Pelodiscus sinensis: one gene and its partners. The protein of the gene in region 1 purifies or fractionates together with the protein of each later gene. This does not show direct contact. Links are inferred from orthologs where the notes say so. Each region holds a gene or a part of one and is shown in the gene's direction. Other genes may lie near its edges. The genes, in order: CBX1, CHAMP1, ZNF280D and AHDC1.

Region 1 (8,040 bases):
CATTCTGGAGAAGCTACAGAATTTGCCCCACCCCCTGGAAAAGAGAACAGCCCCCCCCCGCCACCAGAGTTGCCTGGGAGCTGGGTGCTTGCATGGCCACCCAAGAGAGAGTCAGGTGCCACCCAGCTGATTAGCAGAGCGCCCACAGCGCCAGCATGGGTTTTCTACTGGCAGTGCACATCCACACATGCCTGGGTGCGCATAACAAAATGTATTCCACACATGGATGGAAAACGTTAAGAGGGAACATTGCCCACCACCACCACCCCCCTCCCCTACCCAGTGCCCCCCTCATTTCCCCCCCCCCCCACTCTGGACATGGTTCCCTCCCTTACCCAATGCCCCCCTCCCCTCCTCTGCACATGGTTCCTTCCCCTCTCCTACCCAATGCCCCCCTCCCCTCCTCTGCACATGGTTTCTTCCCCCCCACTCTGCACATGGTTCCCTCCCCTATCCAATGCCCCCCACTCTGCACATGGTTCCCTCCCCCCCCCCCACTCTGCACATGGTTCCCTCCCCTATCCAATGCCCCCCACTCTGCACATGGTTCCCTCCCCCCCCCCACTCTGCACATGGTTCCCTCCCCTATCCAATGCCCCCCTCCCCTCCTCTGCACATGGTTCTTCCTTCTCCCCCCCCTCCCACGGTTCCCGCCCCCCTCCTACCCAATGCCCCTCTCCCCCCACTCTGGCCATGGCTGCCTCCCCCCTACCCCAGCGCCCCCCGCTCCGGAGACCGCCCCTGCCCCGGCTCCTCACCGCTTCCCGCAGGACAGGCGTCTGCAGCCGGCGCGGCCCCTTTAAGAGGTGAAGGGCTGGGCCCGGCCCCTTATAGCCACGCTCAGGGGCTCCTTCCGGTGCGGTCCCGGGGCAGGCTGGGAGTTGTAGTTCTAGCCCCTCCGCTCCCCCCCCCCCCACACACGCCCTCTACCCCGAGGGGGATGCAGATGCAAACAAGCCCGAGGCCAAGCTGAGAGCAGAGCGAAGAGGGGGCCAGCGGGAGGAAGGGGGAGGAGGATGAGGAGGGAGGGAGCTGGAGAAGAGGGGTGCATGGGTGTGCAGGGTGGTCCCCACCCTGAGGATGCAGACTCTGACAGATGCCCATGTTGATGGATGTCTTTGAGTCCCCCCCTGTAAAACCAGCCTCCCCAGGGGACAAGGTGGGCGAGAGGAAAACTTTTTGTTGGACCAAGGGCAGCCGGGGAGAGAGACAAGCCCCGAGTTTGGGGAAAGGTGAGGAGGGCACATCGGCATGTGAACCACTGGCGCGCTTAGCCCACGACCTCACGCTACGGCCTGCCGTCGGCAGAGCGTCTGCCGCGCACAGGGCCGGCCCGTAACATTTTGGTACCTGAGGCGGGGAGCTCAAGTGACGCCCCTGTGCCCCTTCTCCTGCCTGACCGTTACGTCTCTTGTGCCCGCCTTCCTCCTGCACAGCGCTCCTCCAGCTCTGTGCATCGAGAGCAGAGAGGATACAGATGCACCAGCAGCAGACACAATTTTCTACACTCTAGTGCCCCCCCCCCCAGTCTGGCCCCTGAGGTGGCCGCCTCAGTTCGCCTCATGGGAAGGCCAGCCCTGGCCGCACAGGAACAGGAACTTCGCACCGCGCTGCGCAACGTGAGTTACTCCAACGTAAGCGCCTGCGTGCCCGGCGCCGTGTCAGCCGGAGAGCTTTAACCAACGTAGCTTGTGCCGCTCATGGAGGCGGTTTTATTTATACCAGCCAAGAGAGCTCTCTCCGGTCAGTATACTTAATCCACCTCCTCCAAAGGCAATAGCTGTGCCAACCCCAGTGTACACATGGGGGTACAGTCAGGAGAGGAAATTTGAGCAACACCTTCAAAAGACAAGCCTGAAAACTAACATTCATGATTCTGCTAGATCCTCAAAATTATGGGCTGAGTAGAAACACTGGATTTATTCCTTATTATGACACTTAAACGCTGCTCCACGTTTTTTCCTTCCTTCCCCACCCCCCTTGTCCCCAGGCGTTAACAAAGGGCACTTCACTTTGAATGAGCCCTTAAGTGTGGTAGCTACTGATGTTAATCCATCTGCTCCACCTTGTACCCTGAATACATTTTCCAGACCTGAAGAAGAGCTATGTGGAGTTTGACAGCTTGTCTCTTTCACCAACAAAAGTTGGTCCAGTAAAAGATGTTGCATCCCCAGCCTTATCTCTTTAATATCCTAGAACTAATAGACAGCAGAGCTGCCCTTCCTCCTTCCCCCCCCCCCCCCCCCCCCCCCCCCCCCCGACAACCCTCTCTTGTTTCATCAAGGCCTTTGTGGAGGCCTTTAAGAAGTGTTGCCAACTCCCACGCTTTTGTCATCCTTCTCAGGACATTCCATGTTTTTCTGGAGTCAAATTATTCGTGGGAATCTCAGCTTTCATTGGAAACAAAAGTACGTTCCTAGCCCGCTGCAGAGAAAAGCTTGAAAATGTGACCTGCGTAAACCCAAAGGCTCAGAAAAGAAAACTACAGGGCTGAAGGTGAGAAGAACAAAAAGGAGCTCCCTCCCCCTCTTTCCCTTGACTTGGGTGAGCAGTCCTTCCTCCTCTCCTACGGGATTGATCCCATGACCACTTCCTGTCCTGGGTCAGCTTGCGTAACCAGTGCCCAGCAAAACAGCATTCCAGGGAGCCCAAGTGGAAAGTGTTGAAGGTGGGATGTTCCAGGAACACAGGCCTGGTAACAGCAGCCTCTAGTGACTCAGTATCCCTGCCACCTGACAGTACTAACCCTTTGGTAACCCTGACCCATTTTCCTTGGCTGTGTAATGGAAATACAGATGAGTCCCATACATGCAGGACTTTCTGCACATGCATAGTGGCATCACGACCCATCTTTACACTGTGGCTGCCCCTAATCCCAGACCTACCTGGTTGGTGGTGGCTAGTGTCACGCAGCACAAACCACACATAAGCTGGCTGTGTCTAGACTGGCCAGTTTTTCCAGAAAATCAGCTGCTTTTCCGGAAAAACTTGCCAGCTGTCTACACTGGCCGCTTGAATTTCCGCAAAAGCACTGACAATCTCATGTAAGATTGTTGGTGTTCTTGCGGAAATACTATGCTGCTCCCGTTCGGGCAAAAGTCCTTTTGCGCAAAACTTTTGCACAAAAGGGCCAGTGTAGACAGCTCAGATTTGTTTTCCGCAAAAAAGCCCTGATGGCGAAAATGGCGATTGGGGCTTTTTTGTGGAAAAGTGCATCTAGATTGGCACAGACACTTTTCCGTGCCAATCTAGATGCTCTTTTCCGAAAATGCTTTTAACGGGGGTGGTGTTGTTCTTTCGTGTTCTATAGCAGTATTGCCCACCTCAAGCTTTCCAACATCAGGCCTTTAAAAATCATGTGATTAGCTTTAAAACCAAATTTTTAAAAAAAGAATAAGCGCTGTGGTATTTTTGTTTGCTTTCTGGTTTACAAGTCTTTGGGGGCTTTTTAGCATAAAGAAGGTTTATTGAGCATTTTTATTTCCCTGTTTCATAACACATGAAGATGGTGGTAAAACCAACAAAAGGAAATACTTCTTCATCCACGGTGTGATAAAAACGTGAAACTCGTTACCACCGGAAGAAATTGAGGCCAAGAAATTAACAAACAACAGATTGCACCTCTAGTCCAGAGCTCTCAAGACCTGACTGGTGCCAAACCAGAGAATTTGCTGAACCAGGAGAGGTCAGTATTAACTAGCAGCATTACTAACACTGCCACTGCTTACTGGGCTCTTAGAAGACTAAATAACAGCCCAGAGCACTGAGAGCCAGGTCGGGTGGCTGTAAACAAACTTTATGGCACCGCGGGAACTTGGCCACACCCACTGTAAGTTGCCATCCGGCTGCCTAAAATCACGTCGGATCATGGATGGTGCCAGACCAGAGTGCCAGACTTGAGAGGTTCAACCTGTATTAAAAAGAACAAAAAACAGGACCATGTAGCACTTTAAAGACTAACAAGATGGTTTATTAGGTGATGAGCTTTCGTGGGCCAGACCCACTTCCTCAGATCAAATAGTGGAAGAAAATTGGCACAACCATATATACCAAAGGATACAGTTAAAAAATGAACACATATGAAAAGGACAAATCAAATTTCAGAACAGAAAGGGGATGGTAAATGTCTGTGAGCTAATGATATTAGAGGTGATAATTGGGGAAGCTATCTTTGTAATGGGTAAGATAATTAATGTCTTTGTTTAAACCTAAGTGTAAAGTGTCGAATTTAAGCATGAATGACAGTTCAGAGGATTCTCTTTGAAGTGTGGTCTGAAAAGGCCTTTGAAGCAGGATGCAGGTAATCAAGTCATTGAGACAGTGTCCTTTCTGGTTGAAATGGCAAGAAACTGTTTTTCTTTGTGATCCTGTCTAATATCTGTTTTGTGGGCCTTGATCCTTTGGCAAAGACATTTTTTGTAACTGTATTAAAGGGATTGGATATTTAAATAGGTATCAAGGCTATGCAGTGCCATACATAATCCCCACACACGTTTGAAGGGATATTAACCCTTATACTTCAGCCTAATCAGGCTCTTAACTGCTGGAGATCAGGGTGAGACCTGCAGGAGGGAACTCGTCCCCTAGGTGCGGGCTGGATGATTCTCTCGCCTTTCTCTGGCGCATCCTGGGCTGGCCACTGTGGGCTCAGTGGGGTCTGCGCCGCTCTGCAGAGGCCAGTGCTCCTAGGGGCGGCAGTTCCCTTTTCACTGGAGTCCCCTGCCTCCGGGAGCTGGAGCTTTCCGCCGCGCTCAGCCGGGGGCTTGCTGAACTCATGGACAGGGGGAGCGGTGGCAGCCCTGCAGCCAGCCTGGGCGGAGGGGGGAGCCTGTGGCTCCCTGGGGCCACGCACGTGGGCTGGGCTTGGTTGGGCTCCCCCCTCCAGCTCTCCCGGACTACAACACCCAGCAGGCAGCGCGGCGAAAGGGCGGGCGCCGCTAGGCCTGCTGGGAGCCGTCGTCCAACGGCGGGACTCCATGGCCCAGCGTGCCGCGGGCGGGGCGGGGGTCGCCGCGCAGGCGCAGTGCGCTCGGCGGGTACAGGGGGTTGCTGGGCTCTTTTGTTTGGCGGAGGCGGATCGCGAGCGGCCAGGCCTGTGGCGCCCCCGGCAACGGACCCGGCCCCCCCGCCCCCGCCTCAGCTCGGCCCGGCCCCGCGCGCAGCCCCGCTCCGCCCCGGCACCGTTGGCGAGGCTGTGAAAAGTGAGCGGGGGGGCGGGGCGCTGGGGGGGGAGGGGGGAGCTGCAGGGGGGCGCGGGGGGGGAGGGGGGAGCTGCAGGGGGGCGCTGGGACGGGAGGGGGGAGGGGGGAGCTGCAGGGGGGCGCTGGGACGGGAGGGGGAGGGGGAGCTGCAGGGGGGGCGCTGGGACGGGAGGGGGGAGAGGGAGCTGCAGGGGGGCGCTGGGACGGGAGGGGGGAGGGGGAGCTGCAGGGGGGCGCTGGGACGGGAGGGGGAGGGGGAGCTTCAGGGGGGCGCTGGGACGGGAGGGGGGAGGGGGAGCTGCAGGGGGGCGCTGGGACGGGAGGGGGGAGGGGAGCTGCAGGGGGGCGCTGGGACGGGAGGGGGAGAGGGAGCTGCAGGGGGGCGCTGGGACGGGAGGGGGGAGGGGGGAGCTGCAGGGGGGCGCTGGGACGGGAGGGGGGAGGGGGGAGCTGCAGGGGGCGCTGGGACGGGGAGGGGGAGCTGCAGGGGGGCGCTGGAACGGGAGGGGGGGAGGGGGAGCTGCAGGGGGGGCTGGGACGGGAGGGGGAGGGGGGAGCTGCAGGGGGGCGCTGGGACGGGAGGGGGAGGGGGAGCTGCAGGGGGGCGCTGGGACGGGAGGGGGGGAGGGGGAGCTGCAGGGGGGCGCTGGAACGGGAGGGGGGGAGGGGGAGCTGCAGGGGGGGCTGGGACGGGAGGGGGAGGGGGGAGCTGCAGGGGGGCGCTGGGACGGGAGGGGGAGGGGGAGCTGCAGAGGGGCGCTGGGACGGGAGGGGGGAGCTGCAGGGGGGCGCTGGGACGGGAGGGGGGAGGGGGAGCTGCAGGGGGGCGCTGGGACGGAGGGGGGAGGGAGGAGGGGCTGCAGGGGGGCGCTGGGAGGGGGAGGGGGGAGCTGCAGGGGGGCGCTGGGACGGGAGGGGGAGCTGCAGGGGGGCGCTGGGAGGGGGAGGGGGGACAGGAGGGGGGAGCTGCAGGGGGCGCTGGACGGGAGGGGGAGGGGGGAGCTGCAGGGGGGCGCTGGGACGGGAGGGGGAGGGGGGAGCTGCAGGGGGGCGCTGGGACGGGAGGGGGGGAGCGGGAGCTGCAGGGGGGTGCTGGGGGGGGGCGCTGGGACGGGAGGGGGGCTGCAAGGGGGCTCCGGGAGGGGGAGGGGGAGCTGCAGGGGGGCGCTGGGATGGGAGGGGGAGGGGGAGCTGCAGGGGGGGCGCTGGGAGGGGGAGGGGGGAGCTGCAGGGGGGCGCCAAGACGGGAGGGGGAGCTGCAGGGGGGCGCTGGGATGGGAGGGGAAGCTGTAGGGCTAAATTGTACAACTAGGATTAGGTGGGGTCTGGAATGGGGGGGCTGCATTTTGGGAGGGGAGGGTTTGCTGCAAACAGTGCTCTTGGGGCTGGGATTTGGGGGAGGGAAGCTGGCATTGGGAGAGGGAGCTCGATTGTGGGGGGCAATGGGGAAGCTGGGACTTGGTGGGGAAGGGGAGAGATGCATGGAAACTTTGTAGAGCAGGGATTGGAAGGGGGCGTGGGGCTCGAGAGAGGGACCCAGGAGAGCTGGGTGCAGAGGGGAGCTACATCTTTGGCAAGGGGAGGTTGAAGGGGGTGGGTGGCCGGGTGGCCGCGCCAGGAGCCATGGGGAGTGGGGATGTGTACACGGGAGAGGAGCGTCACAGAAGGGGGAACGCAGCGGGTACCTGGGGGGTAGCTCCGTGGCTGTGAAGCTGCAGGTGAGGTTCCGAGGAGCAGTTGTTGTTCCCAGGTGGTCCTAGGCAATGAGGGGAGCTAGCCCAAGGGCTGTCTCGTGGGGATGTGGATATGGAACTTTCAGAGGGGGCAGAACAGACTCTAGTGGGACTGGGGCTTGGGGAAGGGACACTTGGAAATGAAGCTGCACTAAAGAGACAGGATGGGGCACATGGAGCTGTGCTCTGAATGGGAACCATGGGGCATGTAGAGAAGAAGCTGCCTCCGTGGAGGGAACCGGGGTGAAGCTGCACTCTGGGACATGTGGCCCCCAGTTCAGCTGCAGACTGCCCAGGTTGGGGTGACAGTAAACCTGAAGAAGGGGAGAGAATGAAGCTATGGAATGAATGAAGCTGCGCCAGGCGTATTGGGGGTAGTTGATGGCTTGCTGGAGTGTGCCTGATGGAGAGAGGTATGGGGTACAGCTGCGCCAGGAGGTCCTAGGGAGGCACTGAGCTTTCGTGGGCACAACCCACTTCTTCAGATGAATGAAGTTAAGGGGTCCAGTTTACAAATAAAAGGCAGGGAAAGAAAGGGGATGGGGGGAGATGCCCCCGAAAGCTCATGATCCCCTCTACATTTTTTGTTAATCTGTAAGGTGCTGCAAGACTATTTGTTGTTTAAGTTTTTTCAGTTACAGACTAACAGGGCTACCCCCTCTGAAACCCAAAGATCCTGTGTGTGGGGAAAGTGGGAGGAGAGGTGGGCTGAGAGGTGGGCTAGGGGGATGGCAGAGACTGGAGTGGATCTGAAAACTAGAGCGTGATGAAGCTGTAGTTGGGGAGGTGAGAGCTACGCTGAGGGCCTTGGGATGCTGGAATTGTGCTGGCAGTGTTGGGGCTAATGGAGTTGCAGAGGCGAGGTGTGTGTCCTGTGACTACAAAGTAAAGTGGGTACGATAATGGGACTGTTATGATGTTTAGGTTCTAAATGCAGGTTTTGTTAAGGGCTTTTAAACCATTTTAATTAACTAAGATTCTATGAATCTTGGGCTTTCTTACACAGGTAATTTGTTTGGATTAAACAGCTCCCGCCAGGTTTGCAATTCAAACGTCACAGCTTTGTCTTAATTCTGGAGAGCAGGGCAGTGAAACTGGCTAGAAAT
Region 2 (6,894 bases), on another chromosome or scaffold:
AAAACGTATTGCGAGCACATTCTTACCCTTATAAGCTGTTCATATTTAGGCATAATCTTCAGGTCAGAGACATTTTACCCTGACCTGGTTCCCAGCCCCTTGTATCTTTCAGGAGTTTCCAGACTAGCCAAAGACAAAGGGCTCATTGATTAAATAGTCTTTCCCTCAGAACAGGAAACTTTTGTTCAACACTCCCCGTTCCCCACTTTCCATGGAAAACTACCAAAGTAAGGCTACGTTTAGACTACGAGGTTTTTTCAGGATATCCCGAAAAACCCCACCGCATCCAGGGAATGCGTTTGCACTTTTTTTTTTGCGGAAGTGCAAATGCACTCTTTCGGAAGCCCCAGTATTCCTCCTTCCACCAGGAAGAAGGGGGCTTCTGAAAGAGGGTTTTTTCCCAACATTTGGCCTAGTCTAGACAGGCTAAAAGTCGGAAAAGTCTCTTCCGACAAAAGAATCAGAAAAAGCTACACAAAATGCGGAGTGCATTTTGTGCAGCTTTTTCCGACAAAACTTTGTTGTCTAGACCTAGCCCCAAAGTGGAATCCCAGTACCAGATGGTATGGTCACGTGTCTTACTAGTCCAATCAATTTTGGACTTACAAGACAAACAAGGCCATTTACAAGTCGTTAAGTTGATCACCAAGTCATTAAGGCTTGAGGGAGAGGTAATGGCTCTCATTAGCACATTTGAAACTATAAGCAGTCTCATGCTATGTATTTCTAACTTTACATACAGGAACGATACATGCACTGAAATAGAATTTGTTGATTATGTGAGGCATTTCTTCAAAGCATCTCTGAGTTATGCATATTAATATAAACCAATTTTCATTAAGCATGGGGGGACCTCTTTATTGCCTAGTAGTACTGCTGATACAAAAGTCCAATACAAGCGCATTGGAAGCATGTACACCTGCAGTATTTGTACACAATCACTTGAAAGAGAAACAAGATACTCTACTATGTAGCTAGTTGTATTAATGTGTAGTATTATTGTGTATTAAGACTCACCAATTTTGCAAACCCCTCTAAAGTAAAAGATAAGACTTTCTGAACACAGAGTTTTCCTTTTAATAGACACAAATAGGCTATGTCTAGACTGGCATGATTTTCCAGAAATGCTTTTAATGGAAAAGTTTTCCGTTAAAAGCATTTTCGGAACAGAGCATCTAGATTGGCACGGACGCTTTTCCGCAAAAGCACTTTTTGCGGAAAAGCATCCGTGCCAATCTAGACGCGCTTTTTCGCAAAAAAGCCCCGATCGCCATTTTCGCGATCGGGGCTTTTTTGCGGAAAACAAATCTGGGCTGTCTACACTGGCCCTTTTGTGCAAAAGTTTTGCGCAAAAGGACTTTTGCCCGAACGGGAGCAGCATAGTATTTCTGCAAGAACACTGACAATCTTACATGAGATCGTCAGTGCTTTTGCGGAAATTCAAGCAGCCAGTGTAGACAGCTGGCAGGTTTTTCCGGAAAAGTCGCTGATTTTCCGGAAAAACTGGCCAGTCTAGACACAGCCATAAAGAATAATTTTTTAAACTTCTATTCATACATCATGATAAAAGTAGACTTCAAGTCTAGGCTGCTGCTTTTGATTGACCAACCACTAGAGGGAGACTACAGCAAACCAGCGTTACAACACTTCAGGAATGGAGATTGTAATTCTGAAATGTTCTTAACTCTAAATAAAACATTATGGTTTCTTCGCACTGAACATTAACAATACAGTTTTGAAACTTAATTAGGCAGAAGAAAATTACTGCTTTACTTATATTTAGTAGTTTACAATTAACACAGCACTGAACTACATCTGCTTTTTTATTTGTTGGTTACTGCTGCTGCCTAATTGTATACCTGTATTCCAAGAGAGTTGTATTGTTGACTCCTCAGTTTGTAACGCTGGTATTTGTAAACTCTGAGATTCTACTAATCAGTTTTGATCAGTTCTGACTTTCCACGTAATGGGTGGCACATACTTGCATGCTAATTAGTGTATTATGTGTTATCCACATCATGTTAATAAAAGAAGCAGGACTAGGTTTCACTGTCCTCAAAATATCACAGTTATACCTGCAAAGGAGTCACAGCTTTTTTGTGCTGAACATAGTAGCCTTTTCAGGTAGTCCCCAAAATGATTAATGGGGTTTAATGGACACAATTAAATACTGACAACCTAGGAAAAGAAGGGGGAAGAGACTCCCTTTGGGTAAGTTTAGACTGCAGAGTTTTTCTGGAATACTGGAGGTATCCAAGGAAAATCTTAAAAAAAAAAAATCAGAAAAGCAGATGTGTTTTTTCCACATCCCTGTAAACCCCCTGTTGCTCATCCACACTGCCTTCTTGTGCAAGAGGGCTTATTCCTCTGGGGAGAAGAATAACTCTTGCCCAAGAAGCCCTCTGTTCCAACGTATTCCTGTAAATTTACTTGAGCAAGAACGCATGTGCAGTGTAGATGCACCATAAGTTTTTGCGCAAGAATGGCCATTCTTGCACAAGAAGCCTGCAGTGTAGACATAGTCTTGAAGCCTGAACATAGCAGCGTCTACTACCTCTAGAACTAGTGCTAGGCACCACCACCCACCACAAAAATGCCTTCCATTTCCCAGTCCCCTCCCACAGTCTCTCAAACCAACCCACAAACACCTATTTAACATCACAAACACACAGGTGAGCCATTGATGCTACTATGGATTTGTCGATGTTCAGTTAAGACCTGAAGAGACATCGGCCTGAGGAGGAAACAGCTCTGACAGCATCACACCTTCTCAGTGGCATTTTCAATCCCTATGTCACAAACAAAAGCCAAACCCACAGCGTCCAGTTGCATCTTGTGTAAGGTCTCCAGCTCTGTGTTGGGCATTTGCTGAGCAAGCCTGGCATTACACAACTTAACTCAGTTGGGAAACGGCAAATTCCCAGTATAGCCATCAGTGCCTCAGGCAGCACAAAGAAACCCCAGAAAGTGCAGGATGTGTGTGGGGACGAGGGAAGTGCTGAGTGGGGAGGGGGGCTCTGGCACAGCCTGAAGGTGTGCAACAGATACTCCCCTCCACCACACACCCATAGCAGCCCCCTCCCGGAGTCCCTGCAAGGGGAGTGTTTGGGCAAAGGCTCAGGAGACATCCACATGCAGCCCAGGTGATTAGCAGAGCGCCCTCAGCTGGGTTTTCCCAATGGTGGTGCAAAGTTTATCCCGCCCATGGACAGAACACAGGCTACGTCTACACTGGCATGATTTTCCAGAAATGCTTTTAACTGAAAAGATTTCCATTAAAAGAATTTTCGGAACAGAGCATCTAGATTGGCAGGATGTTTTTCTGCACTTCCGTGGCCAATCTAGACGCGCTTTTCCACAAAAAGCCCCAATCGCCATTTTTGCGATCGGGGCTTTTTTGCGGAAAACAAATCTCTGCTGTCTACACTGGCCCTTTCGCGCAAAAGTTTTTCGGAAAAAGACTTTTGCCCGAATAGGAGCAGCATAGTATTTCCACAAAAGCACTGACAATCTTACATGAGATGGTCAGTGCTTTTCCGGACATTCAAGCGGCCAGTGTAGACAGCTGGCAAGTTTTTCCGCAAATGATTTTTTGGAAAAACTTGCCAGTCTAGACACAGCCAAGGAGCTCAGGAGGCACCAGCTGGTTCCCAACAGGCGCTGGATCCGGCGCGCCCAGCAGGCTCCAACCCCTGCAAGGGATCCCGCACCCCGCGCTCTCCTCCAGGCGCTCAGCCCCGGACCTTTCTAACGGCTCCAACCGCCCCCGCCCTCTTGGCGCCATGCACGCGCGCGCGCGCAACGGCAAGGAAGCAGAGGCACGTTGTCGGGGGGGGGGGGGGGGGGGGGGAGCGCCCGCGGTCTCGCGCGGCGGGGGGCGGGGCAGAAGCAACGGCGGCGTTTCCGGTTGGGCAGCGGGAAGGGCCGGAGACCCAATAAAGCCTCCATTGTGTGGGCGCGCGCCTCCCTTCCCCTTCCCCCCCCCCCCCCGGGAGCGCTCACTCCGGCCTGCGAAAGCCGCCGCCACCGCCGCCATTGGAGGGGCCGCGTCCGCCCAGGGGTCTGCCCGCGCGCAGAACCCCCGCCCGAACGGAGCGAGAGTCACGTGCTGCCCCTCGCGGTGAGTGCGGGGGGGGGGGGGGGGGAGCCGCGTTCTCTAGGCAGGAGGGGGCGCGAAGGCTTCGTAAACACCCCCCCCCCCCCGCGCGCGCGGCTCGGGCCTTTCCCGCTGGAGGCTCCTCCCCCCCCGCGGCGGTAACGCGTTCGGGGCCGGTCATCGCCGACCAGGCTCGCGCTCAGACCCCTCCCCCCACTTCGGGGCTGCGGTGCCCCCTCTCCCGCGCGCCCCCAGTGCTGCGGCTGGCGGGCCCCGAGTCGGAAGTGCGAGGCGGCTGCCGCCCCGTGGGGGTGTGAACTGCCCCCCCCCCCCAGCCAGCGCGGTCTGGATCCAGCCTTTCCCTGTGTAAATCCTTCCCTCCCCCCCCAGCCCGCTTCAGGCTCGTGCTGAGGTTACAGGCGACAGACACGCTGCATCGCACTACTGCGGGGAAACACAAAGCGGGCATTGAAGCAGCCTTTCAACCCCCAGACCTGAGCCCGCAGCCGATTCTCATTGCCCTAGTCGCGAGGAAAACCAACACAAACAGTTGCAGAACGAGCCTGTGTTACCGAATTGCAACGCTGCAGGACAATGTCAATAATCTCAAGTAAGTAAGTTTCTCTGTAGCAGGCAGTTTTTAAGGGACAGGCCCTATCACTTACCAAAATCAAGGGTATGAGTTGTTTTATCCCGTGTGTTCTGTAGGGACAGAGGCACTTCATTTATAAAATTGCCACTCTCAGGAAATTGTTTTTAAGTGTATAAAGAAGCCCAGAGCAAGTCTGTTGTGTGGAGTTTTGGAAGTGGATCCTGCTGTGGTTTGTGTGTGATCTATGCACACTTTTTGGTACATCTGTGAAGGTGGGCAGCAATGGAATATAAATAGTTGGTGCTAGAGATGTATATATCCATTTAAAAAGTTTACTGGATTAACAATATAATTGTAATACTTTAACCTGTTAATTGTGCGGCTGGGGTCCAACCAGCTCTTCATGGGTGTGGGGGGGACTTCTCTGGACAGAAGGGATCCCCCCTGCTCTGGCTGGACAGGTTCTGTCACACTGTGCAACAAGCTGGGGGCTATTCTGGCCTGCTGAAGTCCTGGTGCCTGGGTTGGCTGCAGGGAGCGTCTCCCTTCACCCAGCCCTTCGGTTAATTAATTGGTTATTGGTTAATTAGATAATCATGCTGATAAAGCTAATGCTTACTAGTTAACCTTTTGCATCCCTAGTTGCTGAAGGTTCCTTAGTAGCGGTGATGTTAGGAGAGTTTAGGGAAGGAATTAGAACATTAAGTAAGGAAAGAAATTAAGATGCGATAAAGTGAGAGGGAGTAGTTCAGGAAAATTTGTTCGGCTATTATGTATGGATTTTGCCAATTTAATTTTTCTTTAAAGCTAAATTGAATCTGATTTGCTTGCAAAATAATAAACCTTATATTACCAAGAAAATGTTATGCTATTAATCCTATTTCAAATATTTCTGAAAACTACTTGTCTGCTATGGGATGAATTTAAGTTAAAAATTCTCTTTCAAATAAATCTGTTTAAAATGAAAAGTGGAATTATGTCAATCTATGCTGAGGCCTAAATTTACTAGAATCTGTTAAATGTATATAATTAAAAAAAATCGAATAGCAAAGTAAAAAAGATCATGTAGTAAAGAAGAAATGCACCTTTTTCTATAATAACAAAGTTAATATACATTAAGCTAATTTCTTAAATGCATATAGATATAGCATATTCTAGAAAATAACTTAAAAGTACATGTTTCTACAAACCAGACGAAAACTGCTTATTTAACACAAGATTTCTTGTCACTTTATTCTTAAGAAAGCACTAAAGTTACAGATCTTTGCAAATTAACAGATATCTTGAGATGCACAACTCTGTAGTCAACTGTCAGCCTTTCTGTGTGTGAAATTTTAGGCTAGGCCAAGTCCCTTCTGTGTTCTCTCTCCAGCTGGTGTTTCTTGCATGTGGAAATGGATGGTCCCTCTGCTCACAGTAGCGACCTCTTTGTTTTCATCATGTATCCAGGCTGAGGAGCTGTAGATGTGCAAACTCTGCTGATGCTTTTGTGTAGAAAATCCATGGAGTTGGTCAGCTGATAAGAACAGTCAGAGTCCTAGCTTGTTAGACCTTTAGTCTAGTTCTTCAATGAGGTGACTAGCACCTCCCCTGGGAAGGATATTATTTCAGAATAATTAAAATAGACTTTTCTTAGGCTATGTTTACTTTGCATTTTGATCTATTTCTTGTCAGGGGTATGAAAAAGCACACTGCTGATCCATGTTCCCTCTAATTTTGTGTGTCCATTTGTGAAATGAATTTTGCTATGTGCACCAATATGGCGAAGATATGCAACGTATCAAATAACAAACAAAATTCATTTGTAAATGGATGATCTGTAGCAGGTTTGGTGCTGAGGGGTTCGGAGTGTAGAAGGAGGCTTAGAGTTGGGGGGGATGAGGGTTCTGACTGCTGGTGCAGGCCCTGTGGTGGGGCTGTGGATGAGGTATTTGGGATGTAGGAGGGGGTTCCAGGCTGAGGCATGGGGTTTGGAGCACTAAAGCAGTCTTAGGGCAGAAGGTTGGGGTGGAGGTGCTTGATTAGGCAGAAGTTTGGTTGCAGGAGGGGGAATCAGGATTGGGGTGTAGGATCTAGGAGAGAGTAGTGGACCAGGCTCAGCTGGGGCTCAGGATAGGGGTGTGTGGTCTGGGAGGATGTTATGGTGTGGAAGGGGGCTCAAGGCAAGGGTGCAGGGTCTGGGAGGTGACAGTGTGGGAAGGGCTCA
Region 3 (7,551 bases), on another chromosome or scaffold:
AGGAGGATGGTGGGAAAAGTCCTTCAAAAGGGGTGACATGACACCTTTTACTTCTGGTCATGTGTCCATCTTGCCCCGAGCGTGTAACCTCCAGAGGCCTGGTTAACGGGGGTCAAGGGTGTGGCTAATGGGGGTTGGGACGTGGTTAACGGGGGCGGGGGTGGGGCTAATGGGGGTGAGGGTGTGATTAACAGAGGTCAGGGATGTGGCTAATGGGGCACCACCAAAAATTATACAAATATGCCGCTTCTGCCAGGTGCACTGCGGGAGGGGGCATTGGCCCCGGAAGAGGAGTGTGTTGGTGTGAGTTTAGTGCAGGGTTTTCCTGTGCTGCAGGAGGGTGTGTGTGTGTCTGTGTGTGTTGGTGGGGGATTTTTTTGTGTGCCGGGGTTTTTTTTTTTTGTTCAATCAAAAATTACGGGGGCCCCCCGGTTAAACTTGTGTGCCTTTTTTTGTTCAACCAAAATTGCTGCTGGGCCCCGTTGAAATTGTTTGAATTGGGCTGCTCACTTCCAAAAGCCGGCCTTGCTATTAGGGTGTGTCTAGACTACAAGGGTTTTGTCGACAAAACTGGACTTTTGTCGACAAAACTATACCTGCGTCTACATAACATCGACAGAACTCAGCAGTTTTGTCGACGGCTGTAAACCTCATTCTACGAGGAATAACGCCTTTTGTCACCAGAGTTCTGTTGACAGAAGGCATTATTGCATCTACATTGTCCTTTGCGTCTACGCTGTCATGTCAACAAAGTGGCTTGCTTTGTTGACAGAACTGGATGTAGTCTAGATACTCTTTGTTGACAGAAGCTTTGTCTACAGTATCTGTCGACAAAACTTCTGTCGACAAAAGCCTGTAGTCTAGACGTACCCCTAGATTTCTTGGAAGTGGTCAACAAACATGCGGACAAGGGGGATCCAAAAGATATAGTGTACTTAGATTTCCAGAAAGCCTTTGACAAGATCCGTCACCAAAAGCTCTTACGTAAATTAAGTTGTCATGGGATAAGAAGGAAGATCCTTTCATGGACTGAGAACTGGTTAAAAGACAGGAAACAAAGGGTAGGAATAAATGGTGAAGTTTCAGAATGGAGAGGGGTGACTAGTGGTGTTCCCCAAGGGTCGGTCCTAGGACCAATCCTATTCAACATTCATCCCGAGTGGAGGAACGACCAGGAGAGACGCCAGTTAAAAGCAACTGACGCCTCCAGCCAGCAAGGACCTGGCCAGCCGGAGCTAACCTCCTCATTTTTGCGTAATTCCCCTTTTTGAAATTAAATGCCAGAGTATTGGACTGCTGAGATGTTCTTCCCACCACAGGAATGTTAAATGTTATTATACTGTGGTCACTATTCCCGTTTGGGATTGACAGCATTGGTACATGTTCCTCCTGGACTTGTCCATGGATGTACTGATCCTGCTTTTTCTCTATCCAGACCTTCTGACACAAGACTAAGCCTGTCTCTATCATCCCAACTGTAAATCCTTGTGTCTTAAGGTCGGGAAGCTCCATGGCTAGATCCCAGAGAGCTTCTCTGTTCCAATTAGGTTTGACAGGTTCTCCTGAGTAGTAGAAACCCCTCCACAAGAGCCGCTTATCTGACCAAGTGGAAGAAGTTATTGATTTGGGTATCTCAGCTTGGTTTGTTCCTTATGTCAGCTCCGATCCAAATTACCACGAATTACCTCCTCAACCTGAAACAGCAGGGCCTTTTGGCTTCATCCATGAGGATTTACCTGGCCACCATCTTGGCTTTCCACCCTGACGTACGAGGCTGTATGGTATTCTCAGACAGAATGGTAAGTCATTTCCTAAAAGGTTTGGATAGGCTATACTCATAGGCTATACTCATAGGCTATACCTTCATGGGACCTCAGTTTAGTCCAATCAAGGCTGACAGGTCCCCCATTTGAGTCACTGGCCACATGTTCTTTGCTTTACCTCTCATATAAGGTAGCCTTTGTCATGGCGATAACCAGAGCTTGACAAATCTGCTGATCTATTCGCCCGTGGCGAGTAGATTTCAGCTGGTCACCCTGTTCACCCAGTGGTTTGCGCATGTGCAGTGCGGGTCTTGCGCATGCACAGTGCGGGGCTGGCGAGTGGTTTGCTCTGCGATCGTCGAGCCCTGGCAATAACCTCTGCCAGGAGGGTGTCCAGACTTAGGGCCCTGACCTTGGAATCCCCTACCCTGTGTTAAGGACAAGATGCAGTTAAGACTTTTCCCTGTGTTGATGAAAGGCCACCCAATGTCATCCCAGTGAATCTTCTCCTGGATAGTCTCCTGTATCAGTGAATGCTATAACCTTGATCTGATCCCAACATTGGCTATTACAGCCCATTCTACCAGGCACAGGATTCATCCATAGCTTTTCTTGTTCACGTCCCAACTCATGAGATATGCAAGATAGCGGCATGATCATCCATCTACACATGTGCTGTACATTATGCAATCACCCAGCAGGCTAGGGATGACATGGCTTTCAGTAGGGCAGTGCTCCAGTCAGCTCTTGACTCCAACACCACTTCCTAAAGTTTAGGCTTGTGAGCCACTTGATTTGAATGCATATGAACAATCACTCAAAGAAGAAAAAAACAGCCAGTCATCTTTTGTGACTGTTGTTCTTTGAGATGTGGTGTTCATGTCCATTCCAATACCCACCCTCTTTCTCCTCTGTTGGAGTAGCCGTCAGAAGAAACTGGGGAGTTGATGGGTCAGCAAGGCTATATATCAAACACCATATTGGTGGTACTAGAGAGGGCTGTTAGGCTGACCTGACAGTTGCTGCTTCCAACTTCCATGCACACATACATGTGCATACCTGATTGGAATGGACACGAACAAGTCATCTTGAATAACAACAGTTATAAAAGATGAGTAACCATTTTTTTTCTTCTGAAAAATATCTAGAGTGTTTCAAAACCTTACATAACAGTATGAGACAAACAGGACACTTTCTAGTTTAAATAGTTTTGTCTACCCTGATCTCTTCCTCTTTTCTATATCGTAGGTCAATAATTCTTTTCTTCTGGAAAATACCCATGTGGGAGAAGCAACCTGTGTTATGAGTGGCATTTGAATGCCTTTCTGTCCTGCATATTTCAAATTTTCTGGGGGAAAAAAGTTTTTTACACCTGAATTAGGAATAACAAGTTGGAAACAAATTTCTTAATTTCCAGGGTAGAAAATAGTTGTAGTTAGTGTTGTTGTAGAATAGAAAATAGGGCATAGAGTGGAAGTCTAGACACAAGTTTAATCACAGAGCTCTAATTACCTCCATAATATTGGGATGGACCAGCCTTGTCCTATGGGGAAGGAATAGCAATAGACAGCAAGAAAGGCACGTGAAAGCTTGAATGTCTTCAAGTCGGTCTTTTTCATTCTGACTCAGAAAATTTTCTGAGTATTAACTAAACTTAATAAAATGCTGATTTCCATCATATTAAAAAGAGATGGGGAAAAAGATGTTGAAAGTGCCACCAGTCTCTGTAGATGTTTTTTTTTTCATCAGTGTGTACAACCTGATACTGCAGGTCATGAGTAGTGCCACTAAAATAAATAAGATTACTGTACCTAGTTGAATAAAGGTTTGCAAGACCTAACCCTCATATCCTGATCCTGATATTTAATATATGTGGACAAACCCTTATGTCCATGTGAAGTCCTGTCAGCTACAGTGGAACTCTGTGTGGCTGTTGGAATCAAACTGCTGGACCAGGATCTTAGATTGTAAATTCTCCTGATTACTTCTGGGTTTTTGTGTAGAGCCACACATAGTAGAGCTAAACAAGTTACATAAACCATAACAAATGTGTACAAATATTCACATGTGAATATTAATGTCAGATTTAAATTTTTTTCTCATTTTCATTAGTTTTATAGCTGTTAATGGAAATGTGTATACAGCTATCATACAAAGAACATGTAGTGTTAAAGTTTCAAATTTTGCTTTCCCTTAGTTCACTATACTTGACAAATTGTTGTACTTTTTTACTGTGGGTACTTCTTTCCCTGGAGTAATATTCTGATCCTAGATCTCTGAGACAGGAAATTACTGGTGATTGTGGCTGGTTATTATGTGTGGAAGATAATATCCTAGTGTGGGCTTTTTCAATAACCTGTCTGTGTCAGGTGCTATAGACACCATTTTCTGGGCTGTGAACCTGGCTTCCTCTGTGGCACGCATCTTATGTCTACAGACCAGGCACACAGTACAGTGTAGGCTTGCTGGTGCAGGGCACTGATCACTTTCTGTGCCTTGGGCTTCCTGTGGGATTGGCCTCAGCCCCTTGATGATGGGAAGGCAGTTCACGCCAGAGTATGTGTCCCATGGGTGGTGGTTTTACCAGTGGTCCATGGTTGTTGGGAGGACAGAGTATGTAGGGAGGGCTGGCCCTGCCCCATGTGGGAGGCAGAGGATACTGTGTGCAGCAGAGTCCCCCAGCAAAGGAAAGCTCCGAGGTGCGGCCTACAGGCCAGGCCTGCTCTGCAGGGTGTGAGGCCAGGCACATGGCCCTGCGTTGTGTGCGCCTCCCCCGCGCTGCCCCGCCCCCTCCCTGGTGGCTGCCGGAAAGAAGGCGCCTCTCTGTGGGGCTGACCTGCACTTTACCCATCAGCCAGCGCGCCGGGTTCAGCGAATTCCCCCCAGTAGCGGCGGCTGCAGTGGCAGGAGACTGAGGTTGGGCGCCGCGGCTGGGCGATGTGAGGATCTTCCGCCGGAGCCGCCCCCTCCCATCCCCCCCGTCAGTCAGGGAGCGAGCGAGCCTGCCGCGGCCTCTTCACACGCGCAGCACGGTAAGCCGGCCCGCTCCGCTGTCCCCTCCCCGCAGGGACGGCCTGCTCAGGGCCTTCCAGTGCGGAGGGAGCTACCGCTGCTTAGCGCAGGGTGGGCCACCGGGGGGATTGTTGCCTACGAGACCGACGCCATCTTGGCTCGGAGCGTGGCCTTGTAGCCCCCCCCCCCCTCCCCGACCGGCGAGCTCTGGGACTCTCAGCCTTTCTAGCGACCTTGTTAGTCTCCCCTTGACGCGGGAGCCGGAGCTTCGCGGGCTCGCCCTCCCCTCCCTCCTTTGTTGGTGTCTCCCGAATAGCTGTGAGTGGGTGTTGAGGATCTTCCCCGTTCTAATAGCGGTGCAAGCGGGTTTCCGATCCCCATCCGACCCCTCCTGCCTGAGGCCAAACCAGCCCTTGCCTCAGACACCGGGGGTCACGGAGCGTGTCAGAGGGAAATGATGAAGCCGCGTGAAAGAGAACGGTTCCAGAGGGAGCTGCCCTGTTGTCCCGGCGTCCTTGCACCCTGCCTCGGCCTCACCTCACACCCATGTAGCTTGTGAGAACTTGTAATTTGCGTACAAAAGATAACGCTGCCCTTCTGTAGGAGGCTCTTACCATCTCATGACAGTGAGGCAGGAAGGTGTTTTCGAGGGACGTTTCCCCACTGGGCTAGGTGCTTAATCGTTTTTTTACATTTGCATCAAAGGTAAATGACATTTAGTTTCTTTTAAGTCTGTTCACATCCCTAACGCAGTGTTTGACAGCTTCTAAAACAAACCAAGACCTGCAGACTATGACGTTGCTATAGTACAGGGGTGGGCAAAATACCTCTCGGGGGCCAGATTCAGCCCACTAAGCCCCCATATCAGGCCCGTGGACCACCTTGCCAAGACTCTGTCACGCAGCAGCTGCTGTTTTAAGCACAGGGCTGCTCTGTGTGACTGTTTTCCAGGGCGGGAGAAACTTGTGACCTCCCCACACCCAGCCCAATCCTCAGCTCCTATTGGCCAGAAACAACCAGCTAATAGGAGCTGAGAGATTGGTCATGGGGATGTGAGCAGTGCAAGCCTCTTCCCCCTCCCTGAACTGAGCCCCATGGGCTATGTCTACACTAGTGGCTTCTTGCACAAGAACAACTCTTCTTGTGCAAAAACTTGTCGGGTGTCTACACTGTGCACACATTCTTGCGCAAGTAAATTTACAGTACAGCGTTGGAAAACAGGGCTTCTTCTGGAAGAGTTATTCCTCTCCCCACAAGGAATAAGCCCTCTTGTGCAAGAGCTCTTCCACAAGAAAGCAGGTTAGACAGGCAATATGATTTTCCTGCACAAGAAACCCCTATCGCTAAAATGGCCATCAGAGCTTTCTTTCACAAGAGAGCGTCCACACTGCCATGGATGCTCTTGTGCAAAAGCACATCTCTTGTGCAAAAGTACATGCCAGTGTAGACGCGCTCTTGTGGAAGACTTTTTGCGCAAGAACTCTTCTGCAGAACAGTTCTTGCGCAAGAGGGTACCAGTGTAGACGTAGCCATGGAGAGAACAGCTTGCAGTATTAAGTCCTCTGGGACTGCAGCAGGCAGGGAGCCCAGCCTTCCTTGGGGGTGCTGCAGGGCTGCTGGCTGGGAGACGCTTAGGTAAGTGCCTCCCAGCCAAAGCCTGTCTTTGGCACTTCTGCCCCTCCTGAGTCCCACCTCCTTCCCCCAGGTCACTATCCTGCACCCCCCAGCTGCAGGTTACGACTCCTTCCCAGACCCTTCACCCATTCCAAACTCCTTCTCCAGGCTAGAATCCTCTCCTGCACCCCAGTCTCTTATCCTGTGTTCCCTTCTGCACCCATCCCCATATCTGCTCCACAGAAAAGAGCTTGCATTGACCACTTTCCAAAGTCTTGGTGTGGCCCCCTCACCAAAAATTGCCTGCCCCTGCTATAGTAGATTGCCCACATGACATTAAATTATGCTAACTGAAGTAGTATGGACCGAAAGGTGGTGGATGCTTTAGGTTGAGCTTTGGGTTTATGTACAATGCAACTTTGCTTCTTAAAACAACTCTTAAAGGGCAACTATTAGGCTACGTCTACACTGCAGGCTTTTTGTGCAAGAACAGCTGTTCTTGCACAAAAACTTGTCATGTGTCTACACTGCACGTGCATTCTTGCGCAAATAAATTCACAGTACAGCGTCGGAAAACAGGGCTTCTTCCAGAAGAGTTATTCCTCTCCCCACGAGGAATAAGCCCTTTTGCGCAAGAGCTCTTCCACAAGAAGGCAGTGTAGACAGGCAACATGATTTTCTTGCACAAGAAACCCCTATGGCTAAAATGGCCATCAGAGCTTTCTTGCGCAAGAGCGCATCCACACTGCCATGGACGCTCTTGTGCAAAAGCACATCTCTTGTGCAAAAACACATGGCAGTGTGGACATGCTCTTGTGGAAGACGTTATGCACAAGAACTCTTGCGCAAAACAGTTCTTGCACAAGAAGGCTGCAGTGTAGACATAGCCGTAAAGTTTAACAGTCATAGAATCATAGGATACTAGAAGGTACCTTGAGAGGTCATTGAGTCTAGTCCCCTGCCTTCATGGCAGTATCAAGCACTGTCTAGATCAGAGATGGCCAACCTGTTACAGACGAAAAGCCAAAATAGTGGTGGATACAGTGCAAAGAGCTGAGGGGAAAAAGTTGAGTCGCCTCTCCCCCTACCCCAAAAGAGGTGCAGCTGCCGCCCTTTTAAGAACAGAGCAGGCATTGCCCTTTTAAGGAGGCCATTTTGAACT
Region 4 (7,943 bases), on another chromosome or scaffold:
TATACGGATTCTCAGGCCCCTGGTGTCGAGTTACCACCTTAGGAATGGCTCAGGGCCCATGCATTGTTATTCACAATTCGTTAGGCACATGTATGCACCAGTATAAATATTCAGCTAGGATTAATTGCTTCTGGAACAGAGACCCGTGCAGGTGGCATTGCAGAACAAGGCCTCCAGAAGTAGGACGCTGGGTCTGGTTAGAAAGTGATGACCTGGTCCCGGTTTGCAAGCAGCCTCCAGCACCCCGGATGACATACCGGTATGTGGCTGTGCAGGGGAGAGCATCACGCAGGGCGTATGCCCCAGCAGAAAGCAAGGGAGGAAGGGTGAGGTCCCATCAATTTGCTACTCCTTTCAAACTGGAGCAAGGCCAGCCACCCGAGGATGCAGCAGGCCCTGCCCAGCTCCTTTTAGTTGCCAGCCCTGGCAGGGACTTTGTGCCAGGTTGAGAGATAAGTTTTTATGATAACTATAGCTAGAGCCCTGCAAATCCACAGCTTGATGTCCACGGCTTATTTTTGCAGATATGGATGCTGCTTCAGATATAAATGTTGTATCTAGAACACTGCAAATTTGTGGATATCCGCTTTATGTCCATGGGTATCCCCATTCCCGTGGCTCATTTGTGTGGCTATGGATGTGTGTACGAATTTTGTAACCGCACAGGGCTCTACCTATACAGATGCCCTTCACACCCGACAAGGAACTTGGATAGTTTTAAGCATCCCTTTGATTAATACACGACCTTTCAATGCTGTGGATTAAATTAATAAATCTTTGCAATTTAAACCCCATGCCGCTCTCAATGTAACGTTTTCTGTAGAATCGTCCTCCCTCCCTGGAGCAGGATGAGCAAACTGCTCCTTTTCTCTGCCTAAGATGCATGCTATGCACACAACTCCACTACATGTGCATGATGGTGTGTGTGGGGGGGGAGGGGTGCATGCACATATATACACCAAAAGAGGCAAGATTAATACCAAGAAAACTCTATGTGATCACAATATGCGGATCCTTCTGGATTGTGATCAGTTACTAAAAAAGAGCAGAAACTTCAAGGCTCACCTCTTAGGGTAAATGATAAATACTGCCTCTACCTGTACTCATTCAAACAACACAGATCCCCTGCATGTGCCAATTCTATCGATGACCCAGGTGGAGTACTCACATCCTGTTGGCATCTACAAAGTCGAATACTGCAGGGTGCTCTCTGCATCATCCGCTTGCCTACCAGTCCTTGGCCGACCCACTAAAGACCCTGAGATCAATAGGGTACGTGCAATCAGCAAGATTTAGTCCTAGGTGTCTGTTGACATCCAAATATTAATTTTAATTGAATATACAATACACACGATTGGGGTGTATGTGTGGGTGATATATCCCAGTGGTACTTTTTCTGTTTCATCCCCATCTATATGTTACTTCATTGATGACTCACGTGTGATTAAAATTCTAATGATATTCACAATCCTCTGGCGTTAACCCCTCACTCGTTATTCCGGAAAATACAATGTCACAACAGACATCAGTCATATTATGTGTTTTAATTGTGTTGTAGCTATGAGCCTCTGTGAAATTAACGAGTGCTTTGAGATCCTTGGTGAGAAGGCCCTATAGACATGCACATTGGTATCTAGATGTGGAGATGCAACATAGTTTGGTGGGCAAGACACTGGTCTCAGCAGCAGACCTGAATTTTGTTCCCAACTCCGCTGTGAGACAGAGGGCAATTCATTTCCCCATTCTATATTTCTGTTTCCCCACCTGTTTTGGCTGTAATCTCTTAGAGGCAGGGCCTGTCTCTTACTGTGTCTGCACACGGCAGTACCAGTCTTGGCCCAGACTTCTAGATGTTATCATGATACCAGTGATGCTAGTGCAGTTCCCAGGGCTGTCGATTCTTCACCACGTTTTATGGGAGAAAGTGTGAAAAGGTCACACTGTTTCCTAGAGCAGTTCTGGGGTTTGCGAAAGGACTTGTAGCATGCATGTTGTGTGTGCGTGTTTGTTGATTGGAATATTCCATCCAGATTCACGTTGTGCGCAACCCCAGACTGCCAGCTCCGAGTGTTCAAAAATCATGAATCAGGGCCCCAAGCACCATGAGATTGGGTTAAACCTCAGGAAGCTCTGGGCCTCTTTTCGTTTGCCTTCTGATTTGTGACGCTTGAGGGGACTTTGGGGGTCATGTTTTTAATCTTTTGGCCACAATAAGGGTTAAAATCTGACTTGTTTTAATAAAAACGAAGAGTTTCTTATACTCACATGACTCCAGGGGCTGGGGCTTCAATAAATACACCAAATAACAAGGCAACCCCAACACAAGTGGATTCCAAGCACAAATTCACTCAGGGTATGTCTACACTACCCTCCTAGTTCGAACTAGGAGGGTAATGTAGGCATACCGCACTTGCAAATGAAGCCCGGGATTTGAATTTCCCGGGCTTCATTTGCATAAGCGGGGAGCCGCCATTTTTAAAACCCCGCTGGTTTGAACCCCATGCAGCACGACTACACGGGGCTCGAACTAGGTAGTACCACGAGGTATACCGGTAGTTCGGAATAGGAATCCTAGTCCGAACTACCTAGTTCGAGCCCCGTGTAGCCGCGCTGCACGGGGTTCGAACCAGCAGGGTTTTAAAAATGGCGGCTCCCCGCTTATGCAAATGAAGCCCGGGAAATTCAAATCCCGGGCTTCATTTGCAAGTGCGGTATGCCTACATTACCCCGCTAGTTCGAACTAGCGGGGTAGTGTAGACATACCCCCACTGAGTAAGTCAAGCGGAGGTTGCTTGAATATTTTGATGGGTGCTTCTTAAATGTTTTGGCTTCCATCCCACCCCTCTCGATGCAAACTGTTCCGTGGACCACCAGCCAACCACAAAATGGGTGGAGGAGGGGGTTGGGGTGCAAGATCTGGGTGGGAGGGAGGGTGCAGAGCAGGCTGGGATGGGGGTCTGACTGGGAGGTTGGATGCAGGAATAAGCTGAGTGTAGGGGGTCCAGGCAGGAGGAAGGATGCGGGAGCAGGCTGGCGGTGCAGGGGCTGGTGGGAGGGTGTATGTGAGGAGGATGGGGGGTGCTTACCTGGCTTTGCCCCCCCACTCCCAGACACCACCACCTGCTGATCCCTTTGGCTGGGATTCCAGTCAATGGGAGCAGTGGGGAAAGCCTCTAGGCTAGCGATTCCCTGCACTGCCATTCCTCCAGCCGCCAAGCGGAGGGGAGCAACAGCATCAGAGAGCCGGATCCTGTGCACGTGAGCCAACAGTGATGCTCCAACGTTGGGGGGCCCCCATCACCCAGTCAATTCTACAACCCAGAGCTTCAGTCCACCTGCAAGATGGTCACGGACCACTAGTGGTCTGCCCACCACACTTCGAGAACCACTGCTTTAGGCTGATGTTTCCAAAGCGACTGTAGGGAATTTGGATGCTTCCTTCCCAATGGGAATGGGGTGTCCAATTCTCTTGAATGGCGTTGAAAATGTCAGCCGGAAAGTACACAGCCACTCCGCCCTGAAATAGGGAGTCCCCACAACCGCCACCAGGATCACCCCGACTCTACCCCTGAGTCTTGCAATCACAGAGGGCGGCCTCTCCCTGTCCTTAGCTAGCACCTGTCCTGAGCCTTCCTGGTGCCCCCAAGTACCAGAGAAAACCACTGGGGTTTGGGCAGTGCTGAAACACAGTGGATTTGTTCCCACTCGGTGTGCCTTTAGGTAGCAAGATCCCTGGGGCCATCCGGTCTCTTTGGAAGAGAGAACACCCACCCCTCCTGTGACGTAGTGGGGGTATTGGGCTGCTTTCTATGCTGGCTCTGTGGTAACCCCCACTGGCTGACCCTAACCACGGCCCAGCGAGACAGGGGATGAGTCATTATGCAGAGAGGGTCTCTCAACCTGTCTGACCAGCTAGCCCCCAGGGAGAGAAACAAAGGAAGGTGGAATGCTGCCCCTGGCTGGGGGGCAGGGCTGGAAGAGGGTTAGTTAGTTTCTGTCTGGGAGCATGGAGGAAGCCGCCTAAGCAACAGGCTGGGGTTTAGAAGCCCAGACCCATATGAAGGGGGGCTGAGGCATCCTAGGCCTGTCCTGTAACCAGATGACATCTGTGCTGTGCTGTGTCCTGGAGAAGCAATAAACTCCCTCTATTCTACTGGCTGGTGAAGTCTGTTCGTGCCATTTCGGGGGGTGCAGGAGGCGCGGGAACCCCAACGCGTCGTCACCCCTCCTCCCCCAGCAGCCCCATTGCCGCGAAAGGAGAATCCCCACGAGCAGTAGAGAGCCTAGGACACACACCGCGGAGCAGTGCCGATTCCGCCCGGCAGAGGGCAGCGGCGACCCGTGCCAGGGACATCGGCACCAGCCCGCCGGCCGCTTCCCAGCAGGACGCGTCCGGATGGCCGGGAGCCGGGGGGGGGGGGCAAGTTCAGCCCCAAACTTTGCAGAAGTTGGGGGGGGGGGAGACACTCCTTAGTGGGGGCACGAATTCAAGCACCGCCTGCCCCCCCCCCGACAGCGCCTGGGGGGGGGGGTGCGCCCCGCGATCCCCGGCCCCTTTGTGCATTGCACAAGCCACACCGGGGGGGGGTCCCCTCCCCCTGCCTGCGCCGCCCCCCCGCCCGGGCTGGCCGGGACTACAATCCCCGGCATGCCCCGCCGGAGCGCTCCCTGGGGTTCCGGCTGCTGACAGGCGAAGGTAAGCAGAGCTCGCAGGCAGGCGGCAGCCGCAGCACCAGCCCCCAGAGCTAGGGAGAGGCAGAGGGAGCGCGCCCGCCCGCAGCCCAGCAGGCTCGGCCGAGCCCGGCAGCAGCGCCCGCCCGGCAGCGCGCAGCAGAAGGCGAGAGCGGAGAGAGAAAGGGGGGGGCGGAGGAGGAGGGGGAGGAGGAAGGGGGGGGGGGTTGCAAGCAGCCGCGGCAGCACAAGCCCGGGCTCTGGGTTGTGTCTTCATTTCCTTTTCCCACCCAGCCCCGAGCGCCGCGGCGGAGGGTGGCGAGCCCGAGCCGAGCCGGGGAGCGCGGTGCAGCCAGGCTCGCCGAGCCCCCCCTTCCCCTCTCCGGCTGGCTCTTCTTTTGTGTGTTTCCAAGGCGGGGAGGCGGGAGCACAGAGGGGGGGGTGGGGGGGTCGCGTCCAGCAGAGTTGCTCGAGGAGCATGTGAGCAGAGGCGGTGAACATGCTGTCGTTGAAGGTGGCCGGTGGTCCGGAGGGCTCCATGAATCTCGCTGGCAGCAAAGACTCAGCCCCCGTGGAAGAGAAAAACCTCCCCAAACGGGCAGCTCCGGAAGGGCTGGGTGCCCAGCAGCCGGCTGGTGAGTACCAGGCTTTCATTTGCCCTGCCCCCCCCCTCCCTCGGGGACCCCCCCACGCGCGCCCGGCTCCTGGGGGCCAGGGGATTTTCCCCCAGTGGATCTCCCTCCCCCCTCTGTAATGAGCTAATCGAGCAACTTGCTGCAGAGTGCTTGGGCAGCAAACTCTGTGGGGAGGGGGGTTAAAGGGCAGCATGCAGTCCAGATGAAACAGCCTTTGTCTCTGTGTAGCGGGCTTGGCAGCACTTGAGGCCAACTGGGTTGTATTTCTCTTATTTCCTGTCCGCCCTCCCCGAAGCCCACACCTCTCCAGTTACTGCCTTGCAATATGCTGCGAATCCGCCACCTCTCCATCGCTCCGTGTCTGGCTTTCTACCTCCCCCCCCCCCTTCAAAAAAAAAAATCCCGACCGAAAATCGCTTTAGGTGTAAACACTAATCTCGCCTTGCACATGCAGATGGGGGCGATGCAGGCAGGGGCTGTGCATTTGAGAAGCCCAAGAGTAAGAGGATATGTTTACTAAGTGGCGGGGGTGGGTGGGTGGGGAGCTGCTTTGAAAAGGAAGGGTGGGTGGCTGGGGGGGGTTGGAATGGAAGATCAAGCCAACAGTCCTTTATTATTTCAGCATGTGGGTTTGGTTCTCGGCAAAAGCGTAGGGGTGTTGGGGACAGACGCCTCCTGGCTCTCGCTCATCCCCCCCCCCCTCCACCCTTTGGCAGGGCGAAGTTGCATCCTCTGGGAGAGTTGTTCCCAAATTGCTGGAGTTTTAATTGCAGTTCAAGGAGCAAAAACCGCAGAAATGTTTGGCAAGGGGATATGAAGGCAGTGGGGGGTGGGAGGGGAGGTAAAGACTGGGGTGGGGAGACATTGTCTGGCAAGCAGAGTTGTGTGTGTCCGTGCCGGGCGGGGGGGGTGGGGGGTTGAGCGAGCGTTACCTGTGGAACAAAGTCGCCTACTTCTTTAAATAAATAAATAAGCCTGGAATCTATGCATTTCCTTCTGGAGGGATCTGATTTCACAGGGTTCCTCTGCCTGCCTCCCCCTGCATGTGGGATTGCTGAGTGACAGCTGTCAGGCTGGCTTCTGTCCACTAGAAGGCAGGCAGCAGTTATAATCAAGGATGTCAACAAAATTTGTGGTGATATGTCTTTTCTCGCATGTGCGCTTGGATCTGTGTTACATCAACCCAGCCCTTCCTGCCTGTGTCTCCCCCCTGCCAGCTCCCAAGAGGTGGGGGCTGCAGGCAGCAGCAGGCCAGATTTTTGGTTAGTGTGGTGTATATGTGGGGGAGTTTTCTTTATGGTCCAAAGGGCCTTTACTTGGTTGGTCTGTCCAGGGGGGAATGTTGTGCAACGGAGGATGCGTTGGAAACCCTGCTGTTACCTTACATTCTGCAGATCTAGTTCTTAGGGGGCCATTTTTTGGGAAGAGTATTTTCTTTTTGGGAGTTTTTATTTTTAAAATCCCCTTGGTGCTAAGGAACTGCACTCCCTGCTTGCGAATAATGCACTGGAATTCTTCTCTCAGACCCTGGCGCTGGGTTGCTGGAGTAACTCCATTGAGAGGCACTAGTGGGAGACCAAAGCCACCCCCCTGGGTGCTTAGTTGGAAAACACGGAGATTCTTAGACATCCAGAAAACCAAACTGGCCGAACAGCCAGGCTGCGGAGACTCGGAACACTTGGCAGGTTCTGGTTTCTCCCCATGCAAGACCAGGTGGCCTGTGTGTTGGGAACTTGGCATGTGGCTTTGGAGTGGCGCTCAAAGCCATATTCTGAGCTCAGTTTCACTGGTGCAAACCCAGCAGTCAGTGGCGTGACTCCAGATTGACACCCGCGCGACAAAGAGCCCAAGCGAGCCCTCAGGACGTTGGCCCTGATTCAGCAAAGCGCGTGAGCAGGGTGAAGTCCTATGGAATTCAGGGCTGTGGCTTCAGAGCTTTGTTGAATCGGGGCGTGATGACTCACTGGGTGTCCCCTTGCAGTGATGGCCTTGTTGGTTTGTGGCATCTGGAAGGCAGGGAGCCAAATGCCGAGCTGTGTGCCTGTGAACCCGAACGGGCCAAATCATGCCTGGGGCAACTCTGCTGCAGTCCACTGTCTCTGGTGCAGTTACGAGGGGGGTTATTTTAGCCCACTGGCCCTCACTCATGCTGGTTTTGCCCGGAAGGGCCCCGTTCCCCTCCTCCTGTCGACTAACACACATGAGGAATAGTCCAGTTCTGTTGCTTTCAATGGCACCGGTATTGCTCAGCGTAGGATTGGCTCCGTTGCCTTGCAGGGGAAGTATCCACCGAACGATGGGGCTGGGGGTGGGCAAGAACATGATCCAGCGTTGGGAGCTGGAGGCTGGTGAAGGAGAGGAGACGGAAGGTTATCGGAGGCCTGAAGGGGCTGACTGGACAGAGTGCCTGCCCTGGCCTCCTTAGAAGAGGCAGCAGAGACCCGGGGCAGTCTATTTCTGCTGAGATCCCGAGGAAAGCTCTGGGAGAATTGTAGGCTTCTATAAATAGCGTGTGTCAGCCAAGTGGAAACAGGGCCTTGAAATGCTCCTGCTATTCTCCTGAGTGCTGGAAACCAGCTCTCAGTAAACAGGGCCATGGTGGGGAGGGCCCTTTCCTACCCTCTGGGCTTGTAATGG

The links.
Region 2: the proteins of CBX1 (region 1) and CHAMP1 purify together in Homo sapiens (affinity purification with mass spectrometry; 6 studies listed by BioGRID and IntAct, with this or other methods). This does not show direct contact. The link is inferred for Pelodiscus sinensis from reciprocal best matches to the Homo sapiens genes CBX1 and CHAMP1.
Region 3: the proteins of CBX1 (region 1) and ZNF280D purify together in Homo sapiens (affinity purification with mass spectrometry; 4 studies listed by BioGRID and IntAct, with this or other methods). This does not show direct contact. The link is inferred for Pelodiscus sinensis from reciprocal best matches to the Homo sapiens genes CBX1 and ZNF280D.
Region 4: the proteins of CBX1 (region 1) and AHDC1 purify together in Homo sapiens (affinity purification with mass spectrometry; 4 studies listed by BioGRID and IntAct, with this or other methods). This does not show direct contact. The link is inferred for Pelodiscus sinensis from reciprocal best matches to the Homo sapiens genes CBX1 and AHDC1.

What each region holds. Positions count from the first base shown.
Region 1 is NC_134739.1:13,775,238-13,783,277, reverse strand, and holds the start of CBX1 (chromobox protein homolog 1), read left to right. Parts: upstream 1-5,036; 5' UTR 5,037-5,201; intron 5,202-8,040. UniProt on the Homo sapiens protein: Component of heterochromatin. Recognizes and binds histone H3 tails methylated at 'Lys-9', leading to epigenetic repression. Interaction with lamin B receptor (LBR) can contribute to the association of the heterochromatin with the inner nuclear membrane.
Region 2 is NC_134711.1:236,216,109-236,223,002, reverse strand, and holds the start of CHAMP1 (chromosome alignment-maintaining phosphoprotein 1), read left to right. Parts: upstream 1-3,886; 5' UTR 3,887-4,120; intron 4,121-4,486; exon of another isoform or gene 4,487-4,588; 5' UTR 4,589-4,706; intron 4,707-6,894. UniProt on the Homo sapiens protein: Required for proper alignment of chromosomes at metaphase and their accurate segregation during mitosis. Involved in the maintenance of spindle microtubules attachment to the kinetochore during sister chromatid biorientation.
Region 3 is NC_134724.1:28,534,224-28,541,774, reverse strand, and holds the start of ZNF280D (zinc finger protein 280D), read left to right. Parts: upstream 1-4,543; 5' UTR 4,544-4,795; intron 4,796-5,378; 5' UTR 5,379-5,480; intron 5,481-7,551. UniProt on the Homo sapiens protein: May function as a transcription factor.
Region 4 is NC_134735.1:12,463,085-12,471,027, reverse strand, and holds the start of AHDC1 (transcription factor Gibbin), read left to right. Parts: upstream 1-4,895; 5' UTR 4,896-5,170; coding exon 5,171-5,306; intron 5,307-7,943. UniProt on the Homo sapiens protein: Transcription factor required for the proper patterning of the epidermis, which plays a key role in early epithelial morphogenesis. Directly binds promoter and enhancer regions and acts by maintaining local enhancer-promoter chromatin architecture.